Elephas maximus indicus: one gene and its partner. The protein of the gene in region 1 interacts with the protein of each later gene in a pairwise test. Links are inferred from orthologs where the notes say so. Each region holds a gene or a part of one and is shown in the gene's direction. Other genes may lie near its edges.

Evidence for each region.
Region 2: the proteins of MYOZ1 (region 1) and FLNC interact in a two-hybrid assay, tested with the Homo sapiens proteins (2 studies listed by BioGRID and IntAct). The link is inferred for Elephas maximus indicus from reciprocal best matches to the Homo sapiens genes MYOZ1 and FLNC.

What each region holds. Positions count from the first base shown.
Region 1 is NC_064834.1:13,856,076-13,871,149, forward strand, and holds the start of MYOZ1 (myozenin-1), read left to right. Parts: upstream 1-9,007; 5' UTR 9,008-9,095; intron 9,096-10,258; 5' UTR 10,259-10,276; coding exon 10,277-10,349; intron 10,350-11,266; coding exon 11,267-11,445; intron 11,446-13,243; coding exon 13,244-13,529; intron 13,530-13,889; coding exon 13,890-14,055; intron 14,056-15,013; coding exon 15,014-15,074. Other genes in the region: SYNPO2L (synaptopodin 2-like protein), read left to right, coding at 3,161-5,337. UniProt on the Homo sapiens protein: Myozenins may serve as intracellular binding proteins involved in linking Z-disk proteins such as alpha-actinin, gamma-filamin, TCAP/telethonin, LDB3/ZASP and localizing calcineurin signaling to the sarcomere.
Region 2 is NC_064826.1:21,235,367-21,250,377, reverse strand, and holds the start of FLNC (filamin-C), read left to right. Parts: upstream 1-9,296; 5' UTR 9,297-9,490; coding exon 9,491-9,845; intron 9,846-14,252; coding exon 14,253-14,501; intron 14,502-15,011. Other genes in the region: CCDC136 (coiled-coil domain-containing protein 136), read left to right, coding at 731-841.

The sequences.
Region 1 (15,074 bases):
GTGAAGGTAGTCTGTGGACACGGGGCTGGGGAATGTTTGGAAGCAGAACAGGGCTACAGGAGCAGGGCAGGGCTACTGGGGCACTTGAGTGTTATTTTCAGGTATGGCATCAGAGCTACTTTTGACATTTGTAAGTTCAGTTAGGATTCCTGGGGACTGTGAGACTAGGGGATGATCAGGTGATCCCTAGGAAGTGGTAGAGGGGAGGACTCTTTAGCTCCTTATCTCAGGCAAGAATGTAGGCCTGGGCAGAAAAAGCCAGTTCCACTTATCTCAGGCTCTTTGCTATTTTTGATGTGAGCTACAGAACAAGGTCTAAGAGTGAACTTTCTCCCTGCACCATGCCCCTCATACCCCTCCCACAGAGACTTTTCGCTCACTTCAGAAACCTCAGGATTGCCCCTCTACTTCTTATCTCTCTTCCCTCCCCTCCTCTCCTCCATTCTGATTCCCGAGCCATAGGATTTTGTGTTTCTAAGTCTGGAATAAAGGCTAACAACACCATGGTTTAGAGTCTGACATCTCTGAAAATGTCCAAGACTCCACAAAGAAATTCCAGATGTAAGCCCAGGATCCCATGCTTATCCACAATTCTCCTTTTAGCACAGCCCCCCTTCCCATCATGCTGGGTGAGGGTGTAGTTAGTGGCTCAGGAATATTTTTAGCCAAGCAGACCTCATTGTCAAATGGGGTGGGGTAGGGGGAAGGGTAGGCAGGTGCCAATGTCCATCACACCAGGGCTTGTGGGGCAGCCGAGAGAAGGGAGGGGGCCAGGCTCCAAAAATAGCACAGTGAGCTCATTCAGCTGCCAGCTCTGGGGACCAGACAAAGGGGCTTTAAAAGGCGTGGGGGGTGCCTCAAGCTGGTCCTGCTCCAGCCAACACTGCCTTTCCCGGCATGGAGACCTTTGAGCCCCTCAGCCAAGAGCCTCTCAGCCAAGCCAGCTGTGACAAAGCCCCAGGCCCAGATCCTGAGCTCCAGGACCCATTCTATGCAGGTACTACCTTCCCATAGCCAGGGCTGTTCTGGGATTCAGAGTGGGGGAAATGTATCAGCAGTTTAGGAAGGGAGGTCTTTGGGAAAGGTCTTATTCCCTTGACCCTCCTCCTTTTTGCCTTCTCTTTCTCCTATTTTCAGGAGTTTCGCTGCTCCTTTCTAGAAAAGGCTGATGCATGGCCACTTGTTGAAGTGACTTGTGATCACATGGGTGATAGACAACTCATGGGGAGAGTGTGTACATGAGAGAGAGAGGTGTGAGCACAATATGAGTACATGAAGGCATGTGTGTGCGAGTCTGTGGGAGTAGAGAAGATGTGTGTGAACAAGAAAGTGTCCATAAACTTGTGTAGCTAGTGTCAAGAGGATAGTAATGGCTGGTCATAGTAGGCCTTAGCACCGTGTTGAGTGCTAAACTTACCTACATTATCTCACTTACACCTCATAGCAACTCTGTGAGGTAGCCATTATCATCCTCATTTACAGATGAGGAAACTGCTCTTCAGCAAGGTGAAGTAAACCCCACTGCCGTCGAGTCGATTCCGACTCATAGCGACCCTATAGGACAGAGTAGAACTGCCCCACAGAGTTTCCAAGGAGCACCTGGCAGGTTCGAACTGCTGACCTTTTGGTTAGCAGCCATAGCACTTAACCACTACACCACCAGGGTTTCCAAGGTGAAATAACACCCCCAATATTTCAGAACCAAAAATCTTGGAGAGCCTGGATTTGAACTGAACCCTGATTCCAGAGCCTGTATTTCCATTCACAGCACTATTCTGTTATAAACGTTACAATAAGAGGCGTGAGAGCCCTAATTAGAAAGGAGCTTGGTTGGTATCTTGAGTGGGAAGTAGATGGAATTTAAAGAATTTTTCAGGAACTGAGGACTATGGACCAGAGAGTACTGATGTCCAAAGCAGGGTTCCAGCAGCAGGGCAGCCACTCCCATTTCCTGGCCCCACCTTCCAAGGCCCCACATGGTATGGAAAGCCCTGCCCTGGCTCCCTTTAGCACACACTCCCTGCGTGCCTGCCTGGGAGTCACTGCCCACACTCACTACCTAGAGGGGTTGAAAAAGAGTGGATAGCTCTGACCTTCAAAGAAACCCACCCACTCCAGCTTGGGAGAAAGGAGAGTATATTTAGCTGGCAACCTTGAGGTGTCCTATTATTTGGAGGGTTAGTTTGGAGAGCAACCCTCTGGCTTTTCCTGCATCTTGGATCTGAGACTACCCCTGGCTGTGAGTAGGAGGGGCGTGAGGCACAGAGAGATGTTCTGGTGGTTGGAAAGGAAAATCAGCTCCGAAGTTTTGTCCTGTTAGGAACAGTCTCTTCAGAGGGAACTCTGGGAAGAAGGGCCACCAGGAATGTGTCTGTGTTGGAGTGTTTGAGTAAGCCTGTGTTCTTGTGGGCACGTGTGAATTTACATATCTGTATGGTTTTGGGTATGTGAACATGAACATGTGAGCTAGGGTAAATGTGAATGACAGGAAGTACACATGAGTAAATGTACCCATCCTGGCTTTCACTAGGCCAATATTCTTGCTGGAATGATGTGTGATGGTCATTTCTATGAATGTTTGTATATAATGTGTGCTGCATGATGGAGGTGGCAACGTGAATGAAAATCCTCATTGCTAAGGATCCTTTGTGGCCTTATCCTAGGGGTAGGGGGTGGGAAGAGGGGCTGTTTCCAAGGGGTTCAAACTTTGTGAGAAGTCTCCTAACATGGCCTCTGTCTCTATGGTGGGAGAAACATGTCCCTTCTCATCTCTGACCTGTCCTGTCTCCCTTCTTACTATGAGGAGTGACATCTCCCCTCCATTGCCAGCTAGGAATGGAGGGAGGCAGAGGAGGAATGTGTGTGGCCGGGGTAAGAGCATATCTCTGAGAAGACAGGAATGGAGGAGAGGGAAGAGAGGATAGGAGGAGGGCTGTGGTCAATGCAGTGTTGGGACAGTCAGCTGGACTCTGCCTTCTCTTCAGCTGTCCTTAATTTCACCTTTCACCCTGCACTCTGCCCCCAAGTCAGAGAACTTTGCCACAGACAGGAGACATTGTAGGTTGGCCGGTGAAAAGACGGGGAGCCTGACGGAGCTGGGAAACAGGACTAGAAGAGGTTGGGGAAGCCCGCTGACTATTTTCTCTCCTGGCCTCCTCAGAACTGCAACGTGCAGAGAGCCTCCAGGAGAAGAGCGTGAAGGAGGCCAAGACCAAATGCCGGACAATTGCATCCCTGCTAACCGCCGCCCCCAACCCCCACTCCAAGGGAGTGCTTATGTTTAAGAAACGGCGGCAGAGAGCCAAGAAGTATACGCTAGTGAGTTTTGGAGCTGCAGCTGGGACAGGAGCTGAAGGGGAGGAGGACGGTGTACCCCCGACCAGTGAGTCTGAGCTGGACGAAGAGGCCTTCTCCGACGCCCGCAGCCTCACCAATCAGTCTGACTGGGACAGCCCCTATCTGGACATGGAGCGGGCCAGGCCAGGTTCAGGTGCAGCAGAGGGCCAGGGCCCCGGGCTTGGAGGGCAGCTGACTGAGGCCTCCGGGAGAGGGGTCCAGCTCTTTGAACAGCAGCGCCAGCGCGCAGCCTCCATCACCCAGGAGCTGGCCCAGGATGGCCCACCAGCCATGCTCAACGGGAAGGGCCTGCAGTCACCCCCTCGGGCCCAGAGTGCGCCCCCGGAGGCGGCTGTGCTCCCACCTAGCCCTTTGCCGGCCCTTGGGGCCAGCCCCAGACCCTTTCTTCCTGGTGGTGGAGCCCCTTCCCCATCTCCTGGTATCTTTAACCGGTCAGCCAGGCCATTTACCCCAGGTTTACAAGGGCAGCGGCCAGGTACCACCTCAGTTATTTTCCGGCCCCTAGCCCCCAAGAGGGCGAATGAAAACCTGGGAGGCCTCAGCCCCGCCCCACCCCCCTTCCTGTCCTCTCCACCGGGGCCCACTCCTTTGCCCAGCTTCACCCCAGGGGTTCCCAGTTACGTGCCAGCCTCCGGTTCTCCCAGCACTCCGCGCTCCTCGGGCCCCGTGACGGCCACCAGCTCCCTGTACATCCCAGCTCCCAGTCGGCCTGTTACTCCAGGCGGAGCCCCAGAGCCCCCCACTTCCACTAGTGCAGCCGCCATGACCTCCACGGCTTCTATCTTCCTATCGGCACCTCTGCGGCCAGCTGCACGCCCAGAGGCGCCAGTCCCGGGCCCAGCTGCCCCTGAGGCCCCCAGCGCACGGGAGCAGCGCATCTCGGTGCCAGCCGCCCGCACCGGCATCCTGCAGGAGGCCCGGCGCCGGGGGACTCGGAAGCAGATGTTCCGACCGGGAAAGGAGGAGACGAAGAACTCGCCCAACCCCGAGCTACTGTCGCTGGTGCAGAACCTGGATGAAAAACCCCGGGCCGGGGGTGCGGAATCTGGTCCCGAGGAGGACCTTCTGAGCCTCGGGGCTGAAGCCTGCAACTTCATGCAGCCACCAGGGGGCAGGAGTTACAAGACCCCGCCTCCCGCGACACCTAAAACCCCGCCTCCGATGGCTCCCAAGACTCCACCCCCTAGGACTGCTAAGACTCCACCCCCGATAGCTCCTAAACCCCAATCTCGAGGGCTCCTTGATGGGCTGATGAATGGGGGAGTCCCTTTGTCTGGAACCCCTGAGCCACCAAGGCTACAGGGCAGGGGTGGGGAGCTGTTTGCCAAGCGGCAGAGCCGTGCAGACAGGTATGTTGTGGAAGCTACACCTGGTGCTGGCCTTGGCCCTGGCCCAGGGCCCAGAAGCCCTTCTCCTACTCCTTCACTGCCCCCATCCTGGAAATATTCCCCCAATATCCGTGCTCCACCTCCTATTGCTTACAACCCACTGCTCTCACCCTTTTTCCCTCAGGCTGCCCGAACTCTCCCGACTAAGGCTCAGTCCCAGGGACCTCGGGCAACCCCCAAGCAGGGCATCAAAGGTATTGATTTCATGAGGCACCAGCCCTACCAACTTAAAACCTCCATGTTCTGTTTTGATGAGGTTCCCCCGACTCCAGGCCCCACCGCTTCAGGGCCCCCTAAAACTGCCCGAGTCCAGGAGATCCGCAGATTTTCCACTCCGGCGCCCCAGCCCACTGCAGAGCCCCTGGCCGCCACAGTGCTTGCCCCACGAGCAGCCACTACACTGGATGAGCCTATCTGGAGGGCAGAGCTGGCCTCAGCCCCTGCCCCTATCCCAACCCCGACTCCAGAGTCTCCCAGGGGCCTTGGAGCCTCCCCCAGCTCCTGTGGCTTCCAGGTAGCCAGGCCCAAGTTCTCGGCCACCAGAACAGGATTGCAGGCTCAGGTGTGGAGGCCTGGGGCAGGACACCAGTGAGCAGAGCACAGCTCCCAGGACCAAGGAGAGGTGGGACATCCTGTTCCTAAAGTTGCTACTCCTGTACCATCACACCTCCCCTCTCAGGCGTCTGGAGGCTAAGGGTCCCTCCTGCCACAGATAGTTTTGGAGTTAGTGTCCCATCCCCCAGCTTCCTGCTCACTCTCTTTGTCTCTGTATTTCCTTGCTGGGATCTCTCTCTGTCTTTATCTCCAGGTCTGTCCTCCCACACTCTTGCACTGCATCTATGTTTCTCTACATTTGTGCTTTTCTCCGTGGGCCTGGTTTTAATGGGAAACACTGGTGGCATAGTGGTTAAGAGCTAAGGCTGCTAACCAAAAGGTCGGCAGTTTGAATCTACTAGAAGCTCCTTGGAAGCTCTATGGGGCAGTTCTACTCTGTCCTATAGGGTTGTTTTAACATTCAGTGAGAAGTACAAGGGACGTTACCACTGGAACCTCAGGCAAGATGCTCACCACCAGACAGACAGCAAAGGGACTGAACTGATGCCTGTTTGCAATCAGTCCCTCCCTATTCCTCGCTCTTCTTTCCCAAGCTTGGCTGGCATATACCTAGGAATGTGTGTGTGCGTGTGTGTATGTGCAAATGTGCGTGTGCACAGATGAGCTCTTCTAAGGCAAGAGTAAGAGGGGAGGTCTAAATAAAGGTCCCACCTGGGTCTTACCCTTGCACTGATGAGCGAAGGGTCAGATATTATTCCCACATGGAATGTCCAGTCTGGAGAGAGATTCACTGGAGAATAACTCCTCAGAGACCAGCATCTGCAGCAGGTGTACAGCATCTAGTGAAACTTATGGGGTATGAGGATATTGAAGGGCCGGGACACCTTGCATGGGCTGTTATAGCAGATAGACCAAGAATAGGACTAAGAATTCTATTCCTCAGGATTTCAGAAAATTTGCAACCTGAGAAGCCCACGCTGAAAAACCTAGCATCCAGGAAGTGATAAAACATGAAATTTCCTCTGAGAATGAGCAAATCCTTGGCTTCTGAGCCTAAGACAGAAAGGAGGGAGAAAGGAGCCAGGGTGTGGAAAGTGAGGCAGAAACCAGGAGCAGAACAGAAACAAGTGGAATGGATTGAGCCATAGACGGGAGCAGGGTGCAGAGCACGGGAGAGCGCCATGTGGGCAGAGAATGCAGTTGAGTAACAAGAAACCAACGGCATGCAGGGAAGGGATTGGGGAAAACTTGAGGGAGAAGAATGTATTTGTCAGCATAGTGAAGGGGAATGATGGTCGGAGGCGGTGAGGCTGCGTGCAGAGTGCTGAAAGAACAGCTGGAGTCTGTGCTACCTTCGAGTCTGTCCCTTAGTCTGTCTTCTGCAGCTTGTCATGACGACCTGGGAAAGGACAGAGAAAGACCCAGAGTCAACCCCTCCTTTTATTCCCAGCCTGTCCTTCAGAGCCCTAGCTCTTGTTCCTTTCCAGCTTCAGGCCCTGGTCTCTGATCCTGGAGGGGTATGGACTCCCCTCTCACCTTGGCCATCACTAGCCACGTTTGCTGCTTGATCTGGAAATTGATCGTTGCCTTTGCTTATTAGGTGTGAGTCACGGTACTTTGTTTTGTGCACAATAAACTCATGCCCCATACCTTCTGTTGCTGTCGTCTCTTCTACTTTTATACCCAAATCCTGATCTTGATATTCTCTGACCCATCCCCCTAATCTGATTCCTGCACTCCCTCTCCCATTCCTGCTATCCCATTTTTCACCCTTCATCCCCAATTTCCATTTAGCCACCTCCACCACTCCCCTTGGTTTCTTCTCCCCACATTCTCCATCCAGGTTCTCCCCATTTCCAGTCCCTGCTCCACACTTCCCAGGCATGGCCTCCGCGTACAAAACTGAGAAGTTGGAAAGGCCCTCTGAGCCTTTTGCCATTAACATTTCCTAGCTCCCCAGGGGAAGCAAGCATGCTAAACAGTCTCTGGGAATTAAATGGCTGGGGGTGAAAATGGGATGGGTGAGGGAAGAAGGAGAGAAAGGTGGGTCAGTGTGGATTTAGACTAGTTAAATCGCCAGAGGCAGGCTGCAATAAAAGCCTTCTGAGACGGAAAGTGCCACTGTTCCAATTGTACCGGCAGGGGGCATGCTGATGCCTATAACCAGACCCAGAACACTGATACTCTCAAGTACATAAAGACCAAAAACCAAACCCATTGCCATGGAGTCAATTCCAACTCACAGCGACTCTACAGGACAGAGTACTCAAGTACACATTAAAAAAAAAAAAAAAAAAAAAAAATTTTTTTTTTTTTTTTATAGCCTCTGAGAATTCCAAGGGAAGAGTCTAGGGAGAGCATTAGGCTGCATCTTCTGTCTTCACTTACCTCAGTAGTTTTAGGTACTCAGGCGTAGATAAACAATCAAAATTTTGGTTTTTGTTTTTTGAGGGGAGGGTGGTGAGGATGATGAAATCACCTTTTGCTATTTATGTTTTTTTTTTCTTCTAATTGCTTCCTTGGGTTGGGACGGACTAGAGGGCAGAAGGCGAAAGATCCGGAGGCACAACTGGTCTGGGACAGGACCAATGAGAAGGGGAGGAGGACTTCTCAGCCCCTAGCCTGAACCTGAAGAGTACAGAATGGGAGAAGGGATTGGACAGACAGAGTGGAGAGCTCATAGAGGGACGGAGGTGTCTGGGAACTTCAAAAGCCACTTCCTTAGCCACCTGCAACAGGGTGGGGTGGCTACAGCAGCAGCTGGTTCCAGAACCTGAGCAAAAGGTGGAGGAGGAGCCAGGATGTTCACGCAGCTACTAAGGAAGGGAATGGGAAATGTCATCCTTCCCCCAAATGGGCTCTCAAGCTTATGCCCCTGCCCAGACTCTCCTTTTGAACAGTATAATGGGACAGCCCGGAGCCTATGGGCTATGTGCACCCTTTGAAGGAAGTCCCAGAGGGTAAGGCCCTGGGTGCTTCTCTGGGGTATATCAACATCTGTCCTGTAGGGTGGGCTGAACAGAGCTCCCCCAAATGGGCAGATCCAAGTGTTCACTTGTTCTTAGAACTGCCAGAGTTTAAGGGGAAAGAAAATGGAGTGATGTGGACGGAAGGATTGGCCAAGCCTTCCCCACATCATCCCTGACTGCCTACAAGCATTGGGTTTGGTTAAATTGATCCCTTATCCTGCCAAGATCTGGCCCTCAGCAGAGAAAGACCAACCCCTCCAGGAACTTTAAAAGAGCGGATTCTATTGCGAACAGATGTTCGTCCCCTTCCCAAACATAGCACCTTAAGCCCTCCTACCCCCAAATACACCCACAGGTCCCTCCAGCTCCTGCCTAAATTGGCTCTGGGTGGCCCTCAGGACACGTTCTCCAGGATCTCTCTCTCCCTCTCTGAATTCCTATCCACTACTTGCTGCCTCCTTCCTCTCCTTCCGTCTTCAGTTTCTCCCTGAATGCTTTCCTAGATCTGTCTCCAAATGCCAAGGGAAGGGGAGCTCCCCCTAGGCAGGCTGATCCCTGGCTCAGACAGCTCACTGGGAGAATCCCAAAGGCCTTTTCTCCCCTTCAGGAGCCTCTGGGCAAGGAGGGCGGGATCTTGGTTCCAGGGTCTCAGTACCCCCGGTGCCATTTGAGCTGCTTACACTCATCGTCTCTATTAATAACCACCCTCCCTCCCCCACTGTCAGTGCTGCCCCCACGCCTGTCCATCTCGGGTTCTCGGTCATAGCAGCTCAGTCCTCCAAAGCTGCTGGACCCCAGGGAGAGCTGACCACTGCCTGAGCAACTGGTAAGTCCACCTCTATGGCCAGAGGGGCTGGAGTCCACTCTGCTTACTTCTGTGTGTGTCTGCAGTTGTTAGTTTTCATCCTACGTGAGTGCCCCCCATCTATGCTCAGCTCTCAGCTGTCCAATTCAGGGGTGCCACAGAGAGTTGAAAAGAGATAGATCCAGGAGGTTGGAGGGAACAGAAATATTGGGAGAGGCACTGGAGGAATAGGGGGTCCAAGAGGCTGATGGAAAAAAGAATCTGGGAGGGGCTGAGAGAGGTGCAGGGAGAGTCCATTTAGTGTTTCCTGGACTCTGGCCTCAGTAGACCCCACCAAGCTGGTAGAGTTGCAGACGTATTTGTGAGGCAGGACTCAGCAGAAGAGGGGATTTTGCTAAGGGCCGGCTTCTGTTAAGGAGAAGCTGGAGTCTGTATCTATTCCCAGTTTGTTCCCCTCCACTGCTAGATCCTGTTACTATGTTCCTGTCCTCTGCAATGATATTGCTGAATTGACAGGCTCAGGGTGCAAATGTTCCCTGTCTCCCCACAACTCCAGTTCTGGGATCTGGGGTGGGGGTGGCTGAAGGGGAGCACAGCCGTGACCTTCCAGGCCCTGTTCCAGCTGGCCCAGTGGTGGACCAACAATCTCTCCTTCCTATGGAGAATGTTTTTGGCTGAATCCCCGTAACCCTGGCAGAACACTTCTCTGCCCCCCTGGGGCTTGGGGAAGATTGAGAAGAGGCCAGAGCCTGGAATCACAGCCCCAATTTGAGATCCCAACACAAATAAACATTTCAAATCATGCCAATCCAATGAGACCTGGGTGCGTTGTCTTGCCTGGGTTGCCTTTTTTTTTTATTCCCACCCCCACCCCCTGTGCTGTGTCCCTAATCCCTGCACCAGCCCTATAAAAAATAGCTCAACAGAAGTTGGTGGGAGGTAGGCAGGGGGTACATCTATATCTCCTGCCCTGCCTCCCAAGAAGGCAGAAGCTCTAAAGCAGTGGGTTTTAACCTTTTGGGGGAATCCATATTTCTTCGAGAATCTGATGAAATTTTGCCCGCTGAAGCTATTAACCACAGGTTAAGAAGTACTGCCCTGGAGTGGAAGAAGGGCTCTTTTGTAAACACTCACCCTTCCCTGTCTCTGTCATCCTTCCAACTTCCCCTTCCTGCCCTATTCAGGCTGAACCTCCCTCCACAATGCCACTGTCAGGAACCCCGGCCCCCAACAAGAAGAGGAAATCCAGCAAGCTGATAATGGAACTCTCTGGAGGTAGGGCAAGGATGCATCTACCTAGCGTGGGGACTTCTTATTAAGAGCATCCCTGAACCAAGAGTCCCAGAAATATCATAATTTTATATATGTCTTAGCCTGAAGGGATAAAAGAAATTCCAGTCCGGGACAGGGGGAAGAAAGGAAGAGGGAAAAAAGGCTGGACACTGACTACTTATCCTTCCACCCTTTTCACCTTGTAACCTGAGACAATGCTCTGCCATATTACCTAGCACAGGTCCAGGACCACTGGGCGACAGGTCAGTGGGGTGTATGTCTGAAGGTGAAAACACATATGACAGAGACTGACACAAAGAAAGAGCTCAATAAATGGGTGATTTCTCCCAGAAAAATTAATTAATTTCCTTACTTCTTTCCCCAGAAGTAGGGCTGTGGGGAAACCACATGGGTATTTCTCTTAGGGTTAGGCAGGTGTGCATGGTGTAAAGCACTCTCCCAATACCCAGAGGCTGTTGGGAGCCAGAGTTCACTGAGGGGAAGGACAGGGAAAGGAGTTAAGATAGGAGTCTGTACTTAGAGGTGGCCACCTCCACATGGGATTGACCTTTGGGCTTTCTCCCATGCCATGGTTGCCTCAGTGCTTCCACCTATAATGTTCCTTTACTCCTTCTGCCCTGTACCCCATGCCCCTCTTACTCCATCTACCTCTTTACTCAAGAATCCTTACTACCTCCATTCTGCATCCCAGGTCCCATGCTTTCACTCCAACTCCAAATCCAGGAAATCAGAAGTCAGACAATCTAGACAGAGTTTGATCAGACATCACAGACAGCACCTGTCCCCTAAGTGATCTCTGCCAGGACACACAAACTTAGTTGTGGACAGGGCCTACGACCTGAGCCCAGAAAACTCTACTTCCCTCTTCCCTTGCCTCTTCCTCCTTACCTCCCTGAAAGGTGGGCAGGAAAGCTCAGGCCTGAACCTGGGCAAGAAGATCAGTGTCCCCAGGGATGTGATGTTGGAGGAGCTGTCACTGCTCACTAACCGGGGCTCCAAGATGTTCAAACTGCGGCAGATGCGAGTGGAGAAATTTATCTATGAGAATCACCCTGATGTCTTCTCTGACAGCTCGATTGTGAGTTCTGAACCTTACTGCTGTCTCACAGCCTGGGGTAGGGCCTGAATCTCCAAAATACCACCAAACTCACCCCTCTGAAAATTCATAAACTCATTAAACCCCCAGATATACTGAATCCCCAACAGCTCCAGTGAGTTACAGCTCATCACTGAAACTCAAAAGTCTCTATCTTAGAGCTGGTGGAAGTGGGTTGGAGGTGGGAGAGAGGTACCATACCCTCAGGGAGAAAATTCCTTCCCAGTTTAGGTTAGTGGTAAAGATAGGGTTACCCATAAAATATAGAATGCTTAATTTTATATTTCAGATACATAACAGGTAACTTTTTTAATGTATGTTCCATGCAATATTTGGGACATAAAAATAAAATAAAAATGTAAGCCCAGTTAAACTTGAGTTTCATATGCATGCAAATAATTTTTAGGATAAATATGTTGTTGTTATCGGGTTCCAACTCATGGCAATCCCATGGGTACAGAGTAGAACTGCTCCACAGGGTTTTCAAGGCTGTGACCTTTCAGAGACAGATCGCCAGGCCTGTCTTCTGGCACCTCTGGGTGGGTTTGAACTGCCAACCTTTTGGCTAGTAGTTGAGTGTTTAACCATTTGCACTGCCCAGGGACTCCTAGTTTAAGTATGTCCCATGCAATATTTGGGACATATTTATACTAAAAAAATATTCATTGCATATCTGAAATTAAAATTTAGCTGGGTATCCTGTAGTTTTATTTGCCAAATCTGGTAACTCTAGAGTTTAGTTTTCATGGCCATCTCCTTCTTGAGCCATTCTTTTGTTTAAAGGGTCAGCCTTTTAATGTGACCCATTATGTGTCCCTCTTTCCTCAGGACCCCAGATGTGGGGACTGAAACTGTCCTTCTTCCAGATTCTACATCCCCTACTCAGGCTTCTTCTCCAAGGGAAAAGTAGGAGTTGGAGAATGACCAGGCACAGGATGTTAAAACTGAGAGAAGGAAGGAATCCTCTCTATTTCCTTTCCTCCTCCTCCACCTTCCTTGGGGGGTAGGAGGGAGAGTGGATATAGATGCCTACATGGGACCAGGGGCAAGAATGTTCGTCATTGACTCTTATTTACGTAGGAACAGTATAAAAATGCTGAGCCAGTCACATCTAACTTTAGGAGGCCAAAAGCCTTCTTCCCTCTCTGGGTCTGGTTACACGGGGTGGAGCATGGGGGTGTGCCTGGTGGGGTGCCCAGGAGAGCCTCCTGAAGGAGCTGGCTGGGTTATTTTTAGGCTTCATGGCAGAATCCAGTGTTGCCCTTTTGGGCGCCCTTCCCCCCATCCCAGCTACAATTTCATTGTCAGGAAGTCAGTCCTGGTTCAACAGGTATCAAGAGGAAGAGAGAGAGAGGGAGAAGAAAGTTCTGTGTTTTGGACAAGCTGAGAAGGGGAGGGGCAGAGCTCTCTATAGTTCTTCAAATTAAGGGTAGGTTCTCCATTGCCAGCCCCATCCTCTCAAATTTACCTGAGCAGGCAGAAGTCTTGGTCCTCTTTACCTTGGTAAAGATGGGAAAGGGGAGTGTGGAGAATGAGTTGCTTCCATCCTAATGAGTAACTGGAGGAATTAAGCCAAGGGGGTCCCACCTTTCAAGGAGAGTTTAGATGCTCTCAGCCAGGCTATTCACCTTCCATTCGTAGGAAGGGGGAATCTAGAGGGTTCAGTGTCTTCCAGTTGGCCATTGTCTCATCACTTCCTCCCTGTCTGTTCACATCTCTCTCTCTGTAGATTCCCCGTGTTCATCACTGTCTGTCTCCTAACTTTGTTCTCTCTTTTCAGGATCACTTTCAGAAGTTCCTTCCTACAGTGGGGGGTCAGCTGGGCACAGCTGGTCAGGAATTCTCCTACGGCAAGGGCAGTGGTGGAGGCCAGGCAGGGGGCAGCAGCTCTGCCAGACAGTATGGCTCTGACCAGCAGCACCATCGAGGCCCTGGGTCTGCATCTGGGTCTGGAACTGGGGGCACAGGTGGCCCTGGGGGCACAGGTGGCCCTGGGGGCCAGGCCAGCAGAGGAGGAGGTAGCTCAGCAGGAGGTGGCTCAGTGGGAGTTGGCGAGTCGGGAACAGGTAAGTACCCTCACCCAAGAGTAATGTTTCTGGGCCCCAAAGCAGGGATATGAGGCCTAGACTGGGTGTGGGGAGCAGGGGAGGCCAACTGAGATATCTGGGTAGATTCTCTGGGTTTGGAAATACACAGAGTTGTGTCTATTCCACCCAGAAGCCTTGTCTTTCAGTCACTTTTTCGGTTTTTCAGATCCAGTCACATATTTGACCCCAAGCTATCATTATGCTACAAACCTTAAACAATTACCAGAATATTGTACCTTTGGTCCCTTGTCCCAACCCCTAGTGAAGCGGTATAGGATTAACTTTCATTGGCTACTAACTGCTATTATTTGACCTACCTTTCTCTCCCATGGCTTCCAGGAGACCAGGCAGGTGGAGAAGGAAAACATATTACTGTGTTCAAGACCTATATTTCTCCATGGGAGCGAGCCATGGGGGTTGACGCCCAGCAGAAAGTAGAACTTGGTATTGACCTGCTGGCCTATGGGGCCAAAGCTGAACTCCCCAAATATAAGTCCTTCAACAGGTAGGAGTGGTGGGGAAGGAAGCAGATGCATTCTAGTGTGTGGGATGGAGACTTTGGTTCAAATGTTTCAGGAGGATGAAGAGGGATGAAAGGAATATGGGGGCCCTAAATGAAGGCCTTTGCTCTCACTCTAGCTCAGAGAAACAGATCAGTATGCAGAAGGAAAACAGTACTGAGAGGAAGGATCTGAATTCTAGTTCATAAGCTACTTATTAGCTATGTGGACATGGGAAAGTCACTCTCCTTCTGACCCTTGGTTGCCTCAACCATAAAATGGGAATAATGTATTACCTGTTTGAAAGCCTCCTTTGAGGATCCCTTCCATTCAAGGTCTAGGATTCCATAACTGTCCTGTGATATGATTCTGTTTCCTTATACCCTACTTTAGTAAGGCTCTAAGTACCTGTTCTCTATCTCCATAGATCATGGAGATCTGTATGAAAGCAGGATACTGAAGTATTAGAGAAGTGCTTTTGCACTGGGTCCTCTCACCCAGGCCATCCACTATCCCCTGGGGGTAGCATGGAGAGTTGGTAAAGTCTCTACATTAAAATTTAAGGTGGCCTCAAACCATTAGGTCTATAGTATATGGGGTTACTTTCTCTGAAATGCATGCTGCTCTGGGTCACAACTATTTATAAAACTATCTAGGACCCACAGAGCCCTCGTGGCTGCTAACCAACCAGCTGCTCCATGGGAGAAAAGATGTGGCAATCTGCTTCCATAAAGACTACAGCCTTGGAAACCCGATGGAGGCATCCCATAGGTTTTCTATGAGTCAGAATCGACTTGACGACAACTGGGAATTTAGGACCCACTAGCCTCCTTCTTTTATTATTAGCTTTGAGGAAACAAGCAAACCTGACGACCTCATCTTCAAAATGGGCTAACATCTCACTGATAAGGCTCTGTTCTTTTTATTCTGGTTTTTAATTAAATAATGTGTCCCCCATCTCAGGACGGCAATGCCCTACGGTGGATATGAGAAGGCTTCCAAACGCATGACCTTCCAGATGCCC
Region 2 (15,011 bases), on another chromosome or scaffold:
TTAGGTATCTTCTGGTGGTGTCATTTGTTGTCCCAGGAATCAGCAGGATTCTCTGGTCATCAGCAGTGTCTGGAAGTCTCAGCATTCTCCCTAGCATGAGGTCCAAGAAGTCAGTCAACACACCTGGTGACTGGGGGATGTTTTAATGACTCAGCCATGTTCCTTCCCAGGGCCAGTAACAGGTTTCCTTGAACTAATATCATTCTTTGCTGCTTTTGCAAAAGGTTTGACTGCTTAAGGACCTCATATTTACCTGAACTCCATGGTAGACTTTCTTCCCTTTCCCCTGAGTCTTATCCCTCTCCCTCCACTATGCTATTGATGCTGAGTTCATTTCTTCTCCATAAAACCAATGCTGCTGCTGTTCCCAAAGGCCCAAATTTGCCATCTTTTTTTGCCATGGCATCCAACCCTTTATCACGGCAACCATTTGGAGAAGCTTTGGGGTCTGGCTCCTGAGCTTGCCTCCAGGCATAGGAACTGGTATTCTCCTCATCCAGTAGGGAGCAACTGAGGCATCCATAAAGGCAGCCACCTAAAATGATATATATAGTGTTCCAGGTATGTAGGGTGTCAGGACTAAGAGACCACATCATCTCCAGCAACTACCCAGGAGGTAAAAGAGACTGATCCATGGTGTTCCTGAGGTGTCGCTCTCCAGCAGGTGATTTCTGACTTTGGGAAGGGTTCAGAAGGCTGGGCACTCACAGTTTTCTTCTGGTCCCCACAGAACATGTTTGGGATGTGGAAGCCTGTGGTGTTCTTGGCTATTGCAGCCATGGCTCTGTATTTGTTACCCAACATGCGACCGCAGGAGACAGAGTTCAGCCTCATGGAGTGATGGCAGATCTGGGCCAGCCAAGGGGGCAGATCCTACGTGGCCACCACCCTCAGCTTCATGCAGGACGTTGTGCCAGAGCCCCACCCCACCCATATGTCCTACACATTCCCATTTCCTTAGCCTCGGTCACCCAGGCCGGAAAGGCTTGTGGAGAGCTGCTGGCTCCCATCTCCTGCCTTGTATAAGAACCTGGGTTCCTTGTAATTAAATATCAACCTAATTACATGAGACTTTGTGGCTTTTTATTTGCTCAGTGCCTTATAGCGCAACAAAAATAGAGTGATTCCCCTTAACCAAGTACCTCACATAAGAATCTGGTTTCCTACATAGGATTTCTCACTACAAATGACCTCAGAAACGAGTCTGGCTGCCAGCTGAATTGGAGATAGATTGGTCCGTATTGACCCTATCTCAAGGAACATATCTGAGCATGAAGAAATGGAATGAACTGGGTACTTTGTGTGAGGGGGCCAAATGACCTCCCCTAGGGGTGCCCACATCTATGGCTGCTGTGAGAAAGATGTCCTAAGAAGATCTGTTTGGGAGCCTTTGTGGCTTAGTCCTTGGGACTTTTTTCAAGAGTTGCACTCAGAGATGAATCAGTTGTTCAGGGTCCTGACAGTAAACAGGTGACACAAACGGTTTCACTGAAGAGCGTTTAATGAAGGGACAATGTACAGAGAGCAGGGTTAAGAGAACCAACAGGGAATAGTGAAGTGCCCAGGCACCGGCAACAGTGGGGTGGTGTTACCAACACAGGCCTAAAGGGAACCAGAAGCTACAGCCCTGAAAAGGGGCCCCAGACAGGAATGGTGGCCATAGAGGAATGCAGCCTCTGCCAGAGCCCTCATGAGTAGGGAGTTATTTATTCCCCATCCTCCCTCTCCACCTGCCAGTTTCCTACGGGTGCCACCCACTGACTGAGCCCAGCTGGGAGCCAGAGAGCAAAGGTGTCCAGGTTATGAAATCTCTGGAGGTCAGCCTCCTGGAGCTCAGAGCCAGCAGAGGATTGAATGGATCTAAGTGGAGACAAACAGAATAATTTATGAGTGCCCTTGTTTACCTTTATCCCTGTGGGCCCCTTTTGTGGTTTCATGAATGTTTCCATATGAAAGACCTCAAGTGTATCTGTAAGCCTCAGTGGACACAGTGGCCCCCATGACTACTCATTTCCTTGGGAGCCCTCTCTCTGTCTCCTTTACGCCTAATGCCAAAGGAATTTGCTTCATTCAACCAGATAACTGAAGCAGCATGTGCTTCCAGAGTGTGTACTGTAGTGGGCACTGCCAAGGACTGCATGAATTCATTACTTCTCCAGCCCTTTCCAGGGGGGCGTAGCAAGGACATTTAGAATTAGGAGATTTTAAAATTGTGTGCTGCTTGGAGGAGTGATAGGCTGAATTGGAGTCCATCCTGGAAGGCCTGGGGCCAGCGCTGAAATTGTAACCAGCTCCAGAGTCCTCACCCTATAAACATGGCTGCAATAGGAAAACTGAGGGCAGGGCTACCTGTCCCTTCTGCTCCCCCTCAAAATGACTGCTCTTTAAAGACCCTATTTAGGGTGGTCTGGCACTGGGTTTTAGTCCCTGGCTACTCAAAGTGTGGTCCATGGACCAGCAGCCTCAGCATCACCTGAGAGCTTGTTAGAAAGGCAGAATCTCAGACCCTACTCAGACCTACTGAAACAGAATCTGCATTTTGGCAAGGTCCCCAGGTGATTAGCATACACAATAAAGTTTGAGAAGCATTGTTTGAGTCAATGACATTAGATTCTGTGTTCTCAGTGGTAAACTAATTAAAGAACTTCCTTCACAACCCACCTGGTACCCGTGGCCACGTGTTGAGTGTAGTAAGATGCTACCGTTTACCCATTTTAGCCGCCAGTTGGCTGGAAAACACACCCAGTGAAAAGGACTGGATGATCATCTGTAGCTGAGAATCAGATTTAAACTTGGAATTAGAAGCCAAGATGGAGGTCAGGATCTGGTAGGCAGATGGCCCCTTCCCAGGACCAAACCTAGAGGCTGAGTTTCTTAGTTATCTAGTGTTGCTGTAACAGAAATACCACAAGTGAGTGGTTTTAAAGAAATTTATTTTCTCATGGTTTAGGAGGCTAGAAGCCCAAATTCAGGACACTGGCTCTAGGGGCTCTCTTTCTTCGCTCTGAGGGAAAACCCCTGTTTCAGCTTCTCCAGCCCCAGAGTTCTTCAGTTCCTTGGCAATCTCTATGTGACATCTATTCCTACACTGATATGGCCTCATTAATATAACCAAGAAAACCCTATTCCCAAATGGGGTTACATCCACAGGTATATGGGTTAGGATTTACAACACATCTTGGGGTCACACAATTCAATCCGTAACATTCCACTCTTTGGCCCCCCAAAATTCATGCCTTTCCCACATGCAAAACTCATTCACTACAAGATCATCACAAAAGTCTTATTCCATTCTAGCACAACTCTAAGTCCCAAATCTTACCTCGTAAATCATCTAAATCTAAATCAAGTACGTATAGGTGAGACTCTGGGCCTGTTCCATCCTTGGGCAAAATTCCTTTCCATCAGTGGGCCTCGAATACAAGTTATCTGCTCCCAAAGTACAATGGCGGAATTAGGTACAAGGTAGACATTTCCAACCCAAATGGGAGAAATTGGAGGGAAGGAAGTGTCAAAGAACCAAACAAGTCCAAAACCTGGCAGAGCAAATTTCATTAGCTTTCAAGGCTTGAAAATAATCCTCTGTTCTCCAGGACCATCTGGGGAACAGCCCCACCCTCAGACTCTGGATGTTGGCCTCCCTCTCTGGATTCTGGGTGGAGGCCCCTTGGCCCTAGGCTTCAGTCTCTCCTTCCAGGCCCACTGGGATGGCAACCCAGCTCCCTCGACTTTGGGTAACCTCATTTTCCTGATCCACCTGCGTGGTGACCCCAACCCCTTGGCCCTGGGTGGCTCTGTTCTCCTGGCCCTTGGACATTGCAGCCCCTCACCCTCAACTCTGGGCAAAGGCCCCATCCTCTTGGTCCACCTGAATGGCAGCACCACGCTCCAGAATCGAGATGGTGGAGATCTAACTCTTTGAAACCTAAACCAAACCCATTGCCAACGAGTTGATCCCGACTCATGGCGATCCTGGTGGCGTAGTGGTTAAGTGCTATGGCTGCTAACCAAGAGGTCAGCAGTTCCACCTCTTGATTCCAGGCACTCCTTGGAAACTCTATGAGGCAGTTCTACTCTGTCCTATAGGGTCACTATGAGCCTATGAGACTTTGAAACCTAGGAGGCGGTTTTTCCACCCTTTGAAACAGAGGCAGCCCTGCCCGCCATAGTTCCTCAACAGTCCTGCTGATCTCTGAATTGTTCCTAGGATGATGCCTTCCTTTTCTTGGAGGACAACAGATGTTCGCAGCCAAGCGGCTTCACTGGCCCATTTTCTGCCTGTAGGATTCCAGGATTGCAGCTTTCCTTCACGTTGTACTATCTGTCCCTTCTAGTCTAATCGGACAAGATTTCTGCTGCGGTGGTTTATTAGACCCATCAGCTGCAGGCTTAATCTCTTTAACAAAAGACTGTTTAGCCAGACCCTTGATGAAAGTTCCAGGACACGTGTCCTTAGTCTGTACAACAGAATTTTCCAGAACTTTATTTTTTTAAGTTCTGGTTTCATTTTGTACAGTTCATTTTTAAGTTCATCTCTTTCCTCCCACATTTTACTTTAAGCGGCAAAGAGAAACCAGGCTGCCCCTTTAAGATCTTGCTTAGAAATCTCCTCAGCCAAATATCCAAGTTCATTACTTACAAGTTCTACCTTCCACTGAACATAATTCAGTCAAGTTCCTTGCCACCTTATAAAAGCATCACCCTAAAAAAAGAAAAGCACCATCCTTCCTCCATTGTCCAATAACCTGTTCATCATTTCCTTTTAAGGTTTCACCAGAAGTACATTTAACATCCACATTTCTAGCAACATTTTGTTCATAGTGATTGAAGCTTTCTCTAGAGGATTCCTCATTTCTTCTGAGCCCTCATCAGAATTACCCGTAGTGTCCATAATTCTACCAACAGTCTCGTCAAGGCAGTCTAGGCTCTTCCTATGAGGCTCCGAATTTCTCCAGATTCTGTCCATTACCCAATTGCAAAACCATTTCCACATTTTAGGTATTTGTTGAAGCAGTACTCCCACTTACCAATACCAAATTCTGTTTTAGTTGTCCAGTGCTGCTGTAACAGAAATACCACAAGTGGGTGGTTTAAAAGGACAAAAATTTATTTCCTCATGGGTTAGGAAGCTACAAGTCCAAAATCAGGGCACCAGCTCTAGGGTAAGGGCCTCTCTCTGTCCACTTTGGAGGAAAATCCTTGTCTCAGCTTCTCTAGCCCCAGTGCTCTTTGGTTCCTTGGCCATCTCCAGGTGGCATCTATCTTTCCCCTGTTTGTGCTAGCTTCTCTCTGTGTCTAATCTGCTCTTTTTATATCTCAAAAGTCATTAGGTTTAAGACACATTCTACTCTGATATGGCCTCATTAACATAACAAAGAAAACCCTATTCCCAAAAGGAATTGTATCCATAGGTATCTGAGTTAAGATTCCAAAACATAGTTTAGGGGGACACAATCCAATCCATAACACAGAGTGTCGGCAGGAATGTGGCCCTGCCTTTCCCTACATATTTTTCCTTAGAATAGACCTCTTCTTTTTGGAACACTTGCCTTTATGTGAGCATAAGCCCCTCTCTGCTCATGTTAGAACCTCATACTCTTCACTTGGCTTGAACTTCATGCCTTCTGGTCTTGTTGATACACATTGTGTTGAATGTGGAACATTCCCTTGAGCCGGTTTAAGAAAAAAGGGGCGGGATTGATTTTAAGTCGACAGGGGTGCCTCTTAGAAGCCACAGGCAGGCATGTAGCCAGGCCTACAGGTACAGTTGGAACCAAGGACTCCAGACCCCTTCAGGAGCCCCAGTTTCTCACCTCTGCTGTCCCTGCATAATGCTTCCTTTCTTCTCTCTCCCTCAAGACCAGCCCCCTCTGTTTCCCTGGCTCCCCTCCCCCCTTCAATTGCACATGGAAGAGCACCCTGCCTGCCACTCCTGCCAAGGACCAGCTGTTCCTGAGGCCAGTGCACGGTTCTAGAGATCAGTTGTGCTGCTGGCTCTGACTCTGGCAGGTGGAGGGTTAGTACACAGATTCACTAGGGAAGGGAAGAGGTGAGCAGTGTGGGGATTCCGACAGTGGTCTCTACAGGGGCTGTAGAGACAGAGCTGTAAGGGAAGAATTCACCAGGACCCACTTGGTCCCCAAGATACCAGCAGGGGAAGCAAATGACTGTTTTGGAGCACTTACTATATGCCAGGCACTGTGCTAATCATTTTACATGGTATCTCCTTTTATCTTCACACATTAAAAAAAAAAAAGAAATCCCTATAAGAACATTATTAACTCCATTTTATAGATGAGAAAACTGAGTCCCAGACACATTACACTACCTGCCCCAGGCTACAGAGCCAGAAGTGGAGAGGCTGGAATTCAGCCTGTGGATCCTTCTACTCTGCCACACTGTCCCTGGTACCAGGCCCAGGGCCACAGTCAGTGTCATTGATTGGTCAAAGTGCTGGCTGTGAGCTTGGACAGCCCCTGGTTCCAAAAAAGCAGAATTTTCCAACATGGCACATTGGAGCCGCTTACTCAGATTCTACTCAGCCCAAGTTAAATATGGCCAATGTTGTGGCTGACGAGCAATGCCCCTTGATAGGAGAGGCAGGACAGGTGAAAAGCCTGGGCAACCTGGTCTCCTGAGGCAGGTCAGCAGGTAGTGAGTCAGGGTGTTATAAAAGGACTGTGGCAGCCAGCGCAGCCCCAAATTCTTAGCTGACGAAACCCCCTGTAAGTCCCTCTGAGTGCCCCTGCTGGCTGGGGGAGGAACAACACCGTTGGTCCTCCTCAGGGAGGTGGCCTCACTTGGCAGGCCCCAGAACTAGCATTGTGCACTGTCTGTTCAGGCCCACATGGCTGGGCCTGGGGCCTGGGCTCACGGGCTATATTGAGGTCTGAGTCACCAGCCTGTGCCTGGGTCAGGCTGACTGTGACTGGCTGGCTAAGGACTGAGTCAGGCCCCGATTTATCCTGGAGAGCAATGAGGCTCAGGTTTCGGGGGAGTGGAGTGAGAGTGGGTGACAGGAACAATCCCTTGGCACTCTGTATCCTCCTCTGCCACCATCCACTCAGTCCCCTGGGAAGGCACACTGGTCTCTCCTGGAGTAAGATAATGAGTCAGAGCGGGGAGAGTAATGGGAGATTATATGTGGGAATTCTCTCTCTACTCACTTGCTTCTCTCTGAACTTTCCTCATCTCCACGGAGGCCCCCAGTTGACAGGGGACCTCAGGGAATATTCAAACAACAGGAATATGAGCCCTTAGGGCTTGAAAAGGAGCTGTCAGCTTCAGGCAGCCCCTTCTTACCCCTTTCTTCCTCCCCAACAGCTCAGAGAGAGGAATCTAGCCTTTCTCAGATCTGTACCTCAGTTTCTCCATGAGGCCTTCAGAGCTCCTGGCTCCTCAGGTTTGGATGTCAGAAGTCCCCCCTTTTACACATGCACACAGTTCTCTGGAGAAACCCAGCTCTGCCCCCTGAGGAGCTGGGCATCTCTCCACAGGAGAGCTTAGCTTGTCAAGTAGATGTGGAACACCGGTGCCTGATGGGTGGTTTTGGCCATGGGACGAAGGTGGCTTGGGGGAAATGAGAGTTCTGGAGACGCGGAGAGGGTTAGCCAGCAGGAGAGTGGAATTCCTGAGTACCTCGTCACAGGCAGCCGACAGAACATGAGCCACAAGGCCCAAGCTATTTATACCTCTCCTGTCACTATCAGGGCCCCCAGAGCTCCCCACCCCCCAGCCATGTACAGCAGGGCCCTTTTCTGTTTCTGGTCCCTTCTCTACTTCTCCCTTTCATTAAATGAGGAGGCAATCTCATTAAATGAGGAGGACAAGAAATCACTCACGGACACTTTCAATCATACATACTGTCCCCCGTAAAGCCCTTGAACTTCTTTCTCAGCTCCATAAGCCGGACTGACCTCATTCTGCCCTTGGGGATAGAGACCCCAAAGATGCCCACAGTCCCCTTCCTTTTTGCTAGGCCTGGGGGAGGAGAGGAAAAGGGTAGAAAGATTCACCTATGAGGTCCCAGAACCTTCCAAAATCCTCTCCATTGTCATCACATGCCTTGAATTGGGAGCTACCTGGCTTGAAGAAACTGCTCCAGCTCAGACATGGCCTACTACCCAGCTCAGCTTGCTATTGGCGATGTGAGAGTTTGCCTACTTCTTGCACATCCTCTCATTGATACGCCACTCAAAACTTACTGGGTCTGGAAGGATAGGAAAGATGACCTAAAAGGGAGGCCAGGAGACACGGAATACATGTATGCTACAGAATTGCAGGATATAACTTTTCTTCATGTAAATATGTTCTATAGCTCTTTCTTCTCATTCCAGGCCAGCTCGTCTGTTCATGTGCCTCAGTTTCCCTGCCATCGCCACTCCCCAGGCCTCTATCTGCCCTTGGCTCACCCTGGTTGGCTCCCTGGGGTTCTCTGGGCCGACCAGCCCTAGTCACTGTTCCCTCTAGGCTGCTCTGGGCAGGGCTCTCCTTGTTTGTGTCTGGCTAACCCACCCCCTCTCTGGGAGGATCTGCCCAGTGGCCAAAGTGGGCACATTGCCCAGGGGGCTCCCTGGCACTAAGGGGGCACAGTCTGTCCCTCCCCTCTCCTCACACTGGTTGAGTCAGATGGGGGGGGCACATTGTGACTCACTTGGTACCTTTTTCCTGAGCTCAGCTTCATTCTGAGAGGATGAGGCTAAATGGGCTGGTGACAGGCTCACTGAGTCAGGGGCAGCAGCCTCAGTCTTCCCCTGAGACCCTGGGTTTGGGCCCCAAATGAGGCCTTTCCACCTGTAAAGTGGAGCAGTGAGGTCAGGTACCCGGCCCCCCAAGTCTTCTAATTGGCCTGTCCCAGCTTCCTCTCAGTCCATCTCCACACAAGCACACACACTTCCCTTCTCAGCCCACAGGTGGACAATACCCTGGGCTAGGAGCCAGGCCTCCCAGCGCCTGTCAACGGCCCTGCCTCCAACCCGTCCAGAAAACTGTCAAAATTCTCTACGTGTGTCACCTTAACCACTGGCCTCAGTTTCCCCATTTCTCTCTTTAGCCCTGGCGGGGTGTGACGGGAGCATAGTTCATTTCGGACGGTGCTTAGTTTGGGGTGTCGGGGTGCAGCCTTGCCGGCGCTCTCGGCCCCTGGCCCGCAGCCCCGGGCGGGGAGGGGACGGGGAGACGCCGTGGGGGAGGGGAGGAGGCGGGGCCGCCCCCCGCGGCCGGGCGGCATTCCTGGGAGGCCGGCGCTCTGACGTGGCTCGGGGGCCGCGGGCTTCTTAAACCCCCGGGCCCGGCCCGCCGCACTTCCCGAGCACCGCTCCGCCCTCGGAGGGAGAGAGAGACCCGAGCGAGGAGGCCCGCGAGCCGCCCGCCCAGAGAAGTTGCAGAGCGCGCAGCCCAGCCCGCGGTCGCGCCCCCAGCCCGCCGGCCCACCCGAACCCGGCCCGACCCACCCGAACCGGCCGCAGCCCCTGCCCGCCCGGCCGCCAGCATGATGAACAACAGCGGCTACTCGGAGCCCGCGGGCCTCGGCCTGGCCGACGAGGCGGACGAGATGCCGTCCACCGAGAAGGACCTGGCGGAGGACGCGCCGTGGAAGAAGATCCAGCAGAACACGTTCACGCGCTGGTGCAACGAGCATCTCAAGTGCGTGGGCAAGCGCCTCACCGACCTGCAGCGCGACCTCAGCGACGGGCTGCGGCTCATCGCGCTGCTCGAGGTGCTCAGCCAGAAGCGCATGTACCGCAAGTTCCACCCGCGCCCCAACTTCCGCCAGATGAAGCTGGAGAACGTGTCCGTGGCCCTCGAGTTCCTGGAGCGCGAGCACATCAAGCTCGTGTCCATCGGTCAGTGCGGGCGGCGAGGGCACGGCGGGGGGACACGGCGGGGAGGTGTGTGTGTGGCGCGGAGCTGTCCCCCGGGCAGGGGGCACAGGAGCTGGTGGGCGCGGGGAGCAGAGACCTGGGGCAGGGCGGCTGGCAGGGAAATGCCTCTGCCCCGTCTCCCTCACCCTCCCGCTCAGGCCGCTGCGTTCAGGACTCTCAGGACCCTGGGCACCCGCGGCGTTCCCAGCCCTCCAGCACCATACACTCCCACCGACCTGCCTCTATTCATTATCCCTTTCCTTCCTTTGGGCGACTGGGACCCCCCCCCCTTCCCCGGCAAACAAAGCAGGTGGCCTCCCAGCACCTCCACGGGAAGGCGGGGACTGCAGACGGGTCCCCATCAGTGCCCAGATCCACGGGCTCTGAGGCGAGGGGGAGCTGGTGGGCGGCAGGATGTCGTCCAGGCCCACTTCGGGCTTGTGCTCAGCTCAGGTCTCAGGCCCGGGGCCAGGGCAGGCAGGGCCCTGCCTCAAACACCTAAAAAGGCACTGAGCACTGAACAGCGCCGGGAGCTTTAACCCCTGCCTGGCCTCCTCCTGCCCTGGCCCAGGGAGCCGGCTCCAGCCTTGGCCGGCCCCAGCCCATCCCGAAGCTGGGGATTGGCTGCAGCTAACGGTCTGGCCCGGGGAGGGAGGGGAGGCCTGTAAAAGGAGGGAGTCCTTGAGTGTAACCAGATTTGGAAGGTGTGTTGGGACGGGATGGGGGTGGGGAGGTACTCTAAGCTTGGCAGCAGAGAAGTCTAGGGTGGGTTTTGAGTGGCAAGTAGCGCCCCCTGTCCTCCCAGCCCTACAGTCATTTGAGTAGGCCAGGGTCCCGGGAAAGACCCTCACTCCCGGGGTAAACTCTTAAGAGTTCTGCTGTGAATTACATGAAGGGGCCCCATATGGGGCTCCATGTGGGCTTCCCAATGGGCCGGCCAGGTAGCCTAGAACCCCCCACGACTGCCTCAGAGACACCCCCAGATAATGGACTGTCTGTCCACCCCCACTGTCCCTCAGGGCCATCTCTGGTCCTCCTGAATTAGCAGCTGAGGTCAGTTTGGGGCCCTTTGCCCTGTCCAGTCCCCTCCCTTGGCCTTACCCCTCCTGCCCAAATACTGGCCCCCCCCCCCCAGCCCTCACCCCACCGCCTGCTCCAGCCTGGAAATAGCCCTGCCTCCGTGACACAGCAGATGTCTCTGAGCTTTCCAGAAGGACAAGCCTGAGGGCAGGCATGGGGGAGGGGGCTCTGGTGTGTAGTGAGGGGGTGTGGGGGGCTGCAGACTACATGACCGAGTGTGGAGGGAGAGTCAGAGCCTGGCCAGCCCCTGTCACCCCTGCATGCTGAAATTTGAGAGGCAGGACTGACTATCCCAGGTGGGGTCTCCCGGGACAGACAGGCTAGGAAGCCTCTCCACCTCCCTCCCCACTGGTCCCTCTCCAGGCCTCATCCTTCCGGACTGCACCTCTCCCTCCCCCAGAGCGGTGCCTGGCCCCTGGCCCCTTGGCTCTGAGCTGAAGGGGGAGAAGTGAAGGCTGGTCTAGGGGCAGGAGGGAAGCTCCTCCGTCCAGTTGAGAGGAAGGGGAGCTGGTCCCCATTTAGTAGGCCAAGTGGCTCCCTCGAGCTGATGAGATAAGCTGTCAGCAATTCAGCTGCTGGGGCTAAGGCTGGCAGGGAGGGGCCTGCTACAGGGGTGGTAGCCCGAGGTGTGAGGGAACAACCCATGGGAAGTCTGCTTCCCCTGGTTCCCCTCTTCTCATGTTTGGGGGGAAGGGGCTGTTCTGGGGGCCTCTGCCCCAGGCATGGTCTCAGACTGAAGGTGAGCATCTGGGCACCTGAGTGGGGGGCCCTTCTTGGAGAAGAGAAGCTGGGGCCAAGGGGGAGCTGGGAGTGGAGACAGCTACCCGAGGAGAGGTGCTTAGCCTGAGTTGGGGGAGCTCTGGCCCTTTGTGCCCCCTTACCCCGCCCAGGTCCCCTACTGCCCCCTCAGCCCCTCGGAACAAAGAGGCCTATGAGGCAACTCTGTCCCGCAGCTGTTCCCCAGTTGCTATTCCTTCTCCTTGAGCCAACAGCCGAAGGAGGGGCTGGAGGGGGCAGCAGCTGTCCCAGCACCTCCCTCGGCCCAGCCCTCTCTCCTCCTCCCCCTCCACTTGAGGCCTGGGGGCAGGGGCGGCTCAGGGACTGGCTTCTGGCTCCTCCCGCTCCTTTGGGGGTATCCCTAGGCAGGCGAGAAGAGGGCTTGGGGGAGTTATGAGGGAGGAAGCCTGGCTAGAGCTGAGCTCCCCTCCCCAGGCCTCCAAGGGGAAGGAGGGAGAGGAAGGTCACAGCTTCCAGAGTGGGACTCGGCCCCGGCCGCAGTCCCTCCCCCGCCCCAAGCCATGGACCACTTGCTGTCTGGCCCTGGGCCAGTTGCTGGGGAGAAACCTCGCTCTCCAGCAAGTATGAATGATCACCCCACACATCCCCTCCCAGCCCCCAGCAGTCTCAAGGTCTCCCTCCCTCCCTTTAGGGGGTCTGGCCCCAGCCCGCTGCAGGAAGCCCTGCTGGGTGGTGAGTGCTGGCTTTGGAGACTGTCAGGGCTGCAAGAGGTCGAGGGGCACTGGGGTGTCAAGACTGTGTGAATGCACTGTGGGTGTGTTTGTGCCATCGAGAGAGCAGAGCTTTGGGAGGCCGGGAGCGAGTATGTCATGGAATGTGAAAGCTGCCAAACCATTGTGCTGCAGTGGAGCCAGGGGAAAGGGGGTGGGCTGGGGAGCTGCTGGGGAAGGAAGGATGAATCAGTGAGAGGGTGGGGAACCTAGGGGCCAGCCTGCCGCCGGAGGGACTGGAAGACCAAGGTTCCCTCCTGGGGCAAGTGGGGTGGGGTGGGGTAGGGGATGCTGGAGTTCCCTGGCCCTGGGTCTTCTTCCACCCTTCCCCAGATCTAGGAATGGGGGGCAGGAAAAGATGTATAACAGGGAGCCTTCAGCCCCACACTCTCCCATCTCTCGGCAACGCCAGTAAACAAGGCTGAGTTTTCCGCCCCCTTTGAACCTCTTAATAGCAGCTCAGCTTGGAGCTGATGGCTTTCAGGTCTGCATTGTCCTTTACAGATGAGGATTCCAAAGATCTATACTCTAGGCCACCTAGGCCACTGCCTCCTGGATGTTTCGCTTTGGCTGTTGAAGGGGAGCTAGGCCTGAACAATCTGGGGGAGTCAGGTCTGATCCATAGTATTCCTCAAAGGAGTTGATAGTGGAGCGTGTCTCAGCTTCTGAGACTCCAGTCTACATCGGTGACAAGTCCCAGGCTCTTGTGAAATCCCATTTCCCCCCAGCATTTGCAAACTGAGCTTGCCAGCTGGACACCCTCTCTCCTCCCAGGACCCCATTGTTCCAAAAGCCTTTTATGGCAATCAAGGTGGAAACCAGGTTGGTCTTGTTCCTCTGCAACTTCATGTTTTAAAATATTCATTCATTCAATCAAAATTTATTGAGGCCCCATCAAGTCCTAGACCCTGAGTATAGAAAGATAAAACCCAGGGTCTGGAGTGAAAGAGGACACACAAAAAGCAGTGATACCACTTCTGTAAAAGACCAAGCCAGTTGCCCTCAAGTTAACTGAACTCCTGTATCTGGGTAGAACTGTGCTTCATGGGGTTTTCAATGGCTGATTTTTCGGAAGCAGATCGCCAGGCCTTTCTTCCAAGGAATCTCTGGGTAGACTCAAAGCACCAACCTTTTGGCTTGCAGCGAGCACATTAACCATTCGCACCACCCATTTGTATAAAACTCTAGGAATTTCGAGCTAATCTATAGTGACAAAGCAGATCAGTGATTACCCAGGAAGGGAAAGGCAAGGAGGGGCAGGAGGGAGGGATTACCAAGGGGTCCACACAAGAAAACTTTTGGAAGTGACGGATATGTTTGTTATCTTGATGTGGGTGATGGCTTTCTGGCTTCATGTCAGAGCTTATCAAATTATACTCTTTAACATGTGCAGTTTATAATATGTCAAGTATACCTTGATAAAACCATTAAACAAAAAAACTAGTGTCTGCCCCCAGAAGGCTTATAAACCAGTAGGGCCAGACAGATCCTGGATAATTGTAGGGATGGCTATAGCCGATAGGAGGCAGACTGGAGTGCTCTAACAGGCAAGAGTATCTGTGCAGGAGTACACAGGGCAGCAGCCTCATTCTGAAGGGAGGAGGCCCCTGAAGGACTTGGCATCTCCACTTTGCACCTAGTAGGCTGAGAGGGAGGCGGTAGGTTCCAGAAATAGGAGGCCTGAGCCCAGCGCTGTAGCAGCTGCCTTGGGAGCACCCTCCCCATAGCTGGGCAGGTGCAGAAGGTACCCTGGGTCGGAGGGTGGGCTTCCTGAGCCCAGCTGGTTCTCTGTGCTCTGCAGACAGCAAGGCCATCGTGGATGGGAACTTGAAGCTGATCTTGGGCCTGATCTGGACCCTAATCCTGCACTACTCCATCTCCATGCCCATGTGGGAGGATGAGGACGACGAGGACGCCCGCAAGCAGACGCCCAAGCAGCGCCTGCTCGGCTGGATCCAGAACAAGGTGCCCCAGCTGCCCATCACCAACTTCAACCGAGACTGGCAGGATGGCAAAGCTCTCGGCGCCCTGGTGGACAACTGTGCCCCTGGTGAGTGGGCCAGCGGGTATCTTGAGGAGCCCTCAGCTGGAAGGAGAGCTAGGATGAGCCAATCCTACCAAGGCTCACAGTTGTCAGAATGCACCCCTGTGGGGCTCCCTCTCCTCCAGCTGAGATTCATGCTGGAGTCAGGCCTCCACTGCTGGGTGTGCCAGATTCTACAGGGGTAGGAAGGGCTTAGAGCCCCTCATTTTACAGACAAGGATGTTGAGGGCCAGAGAGAGCCAGTGACTTGTCCAGGGTCTCTTGGCTTGTCTGGCAGAACTGAACCTCGATCCCCCGGCCAGGACACCCTGCTCCACGTGCTCTCTACTTTGACACCTGGGCACTGCCGAGTGCTCCTTTGTGAGACCCTGGGACAGCTTTGAGAAGAGGCTGAGGCCCGGGATGATGTGGACTGAGGCTGGCATGGCGCTGCCAAGTGGCAGGTGACCCAGCCCTGCCCCCTCAATGTAGGTCCTGGCCTGGTCGGGTGGGGGCTGATCAGGGCCACAAGGAAAC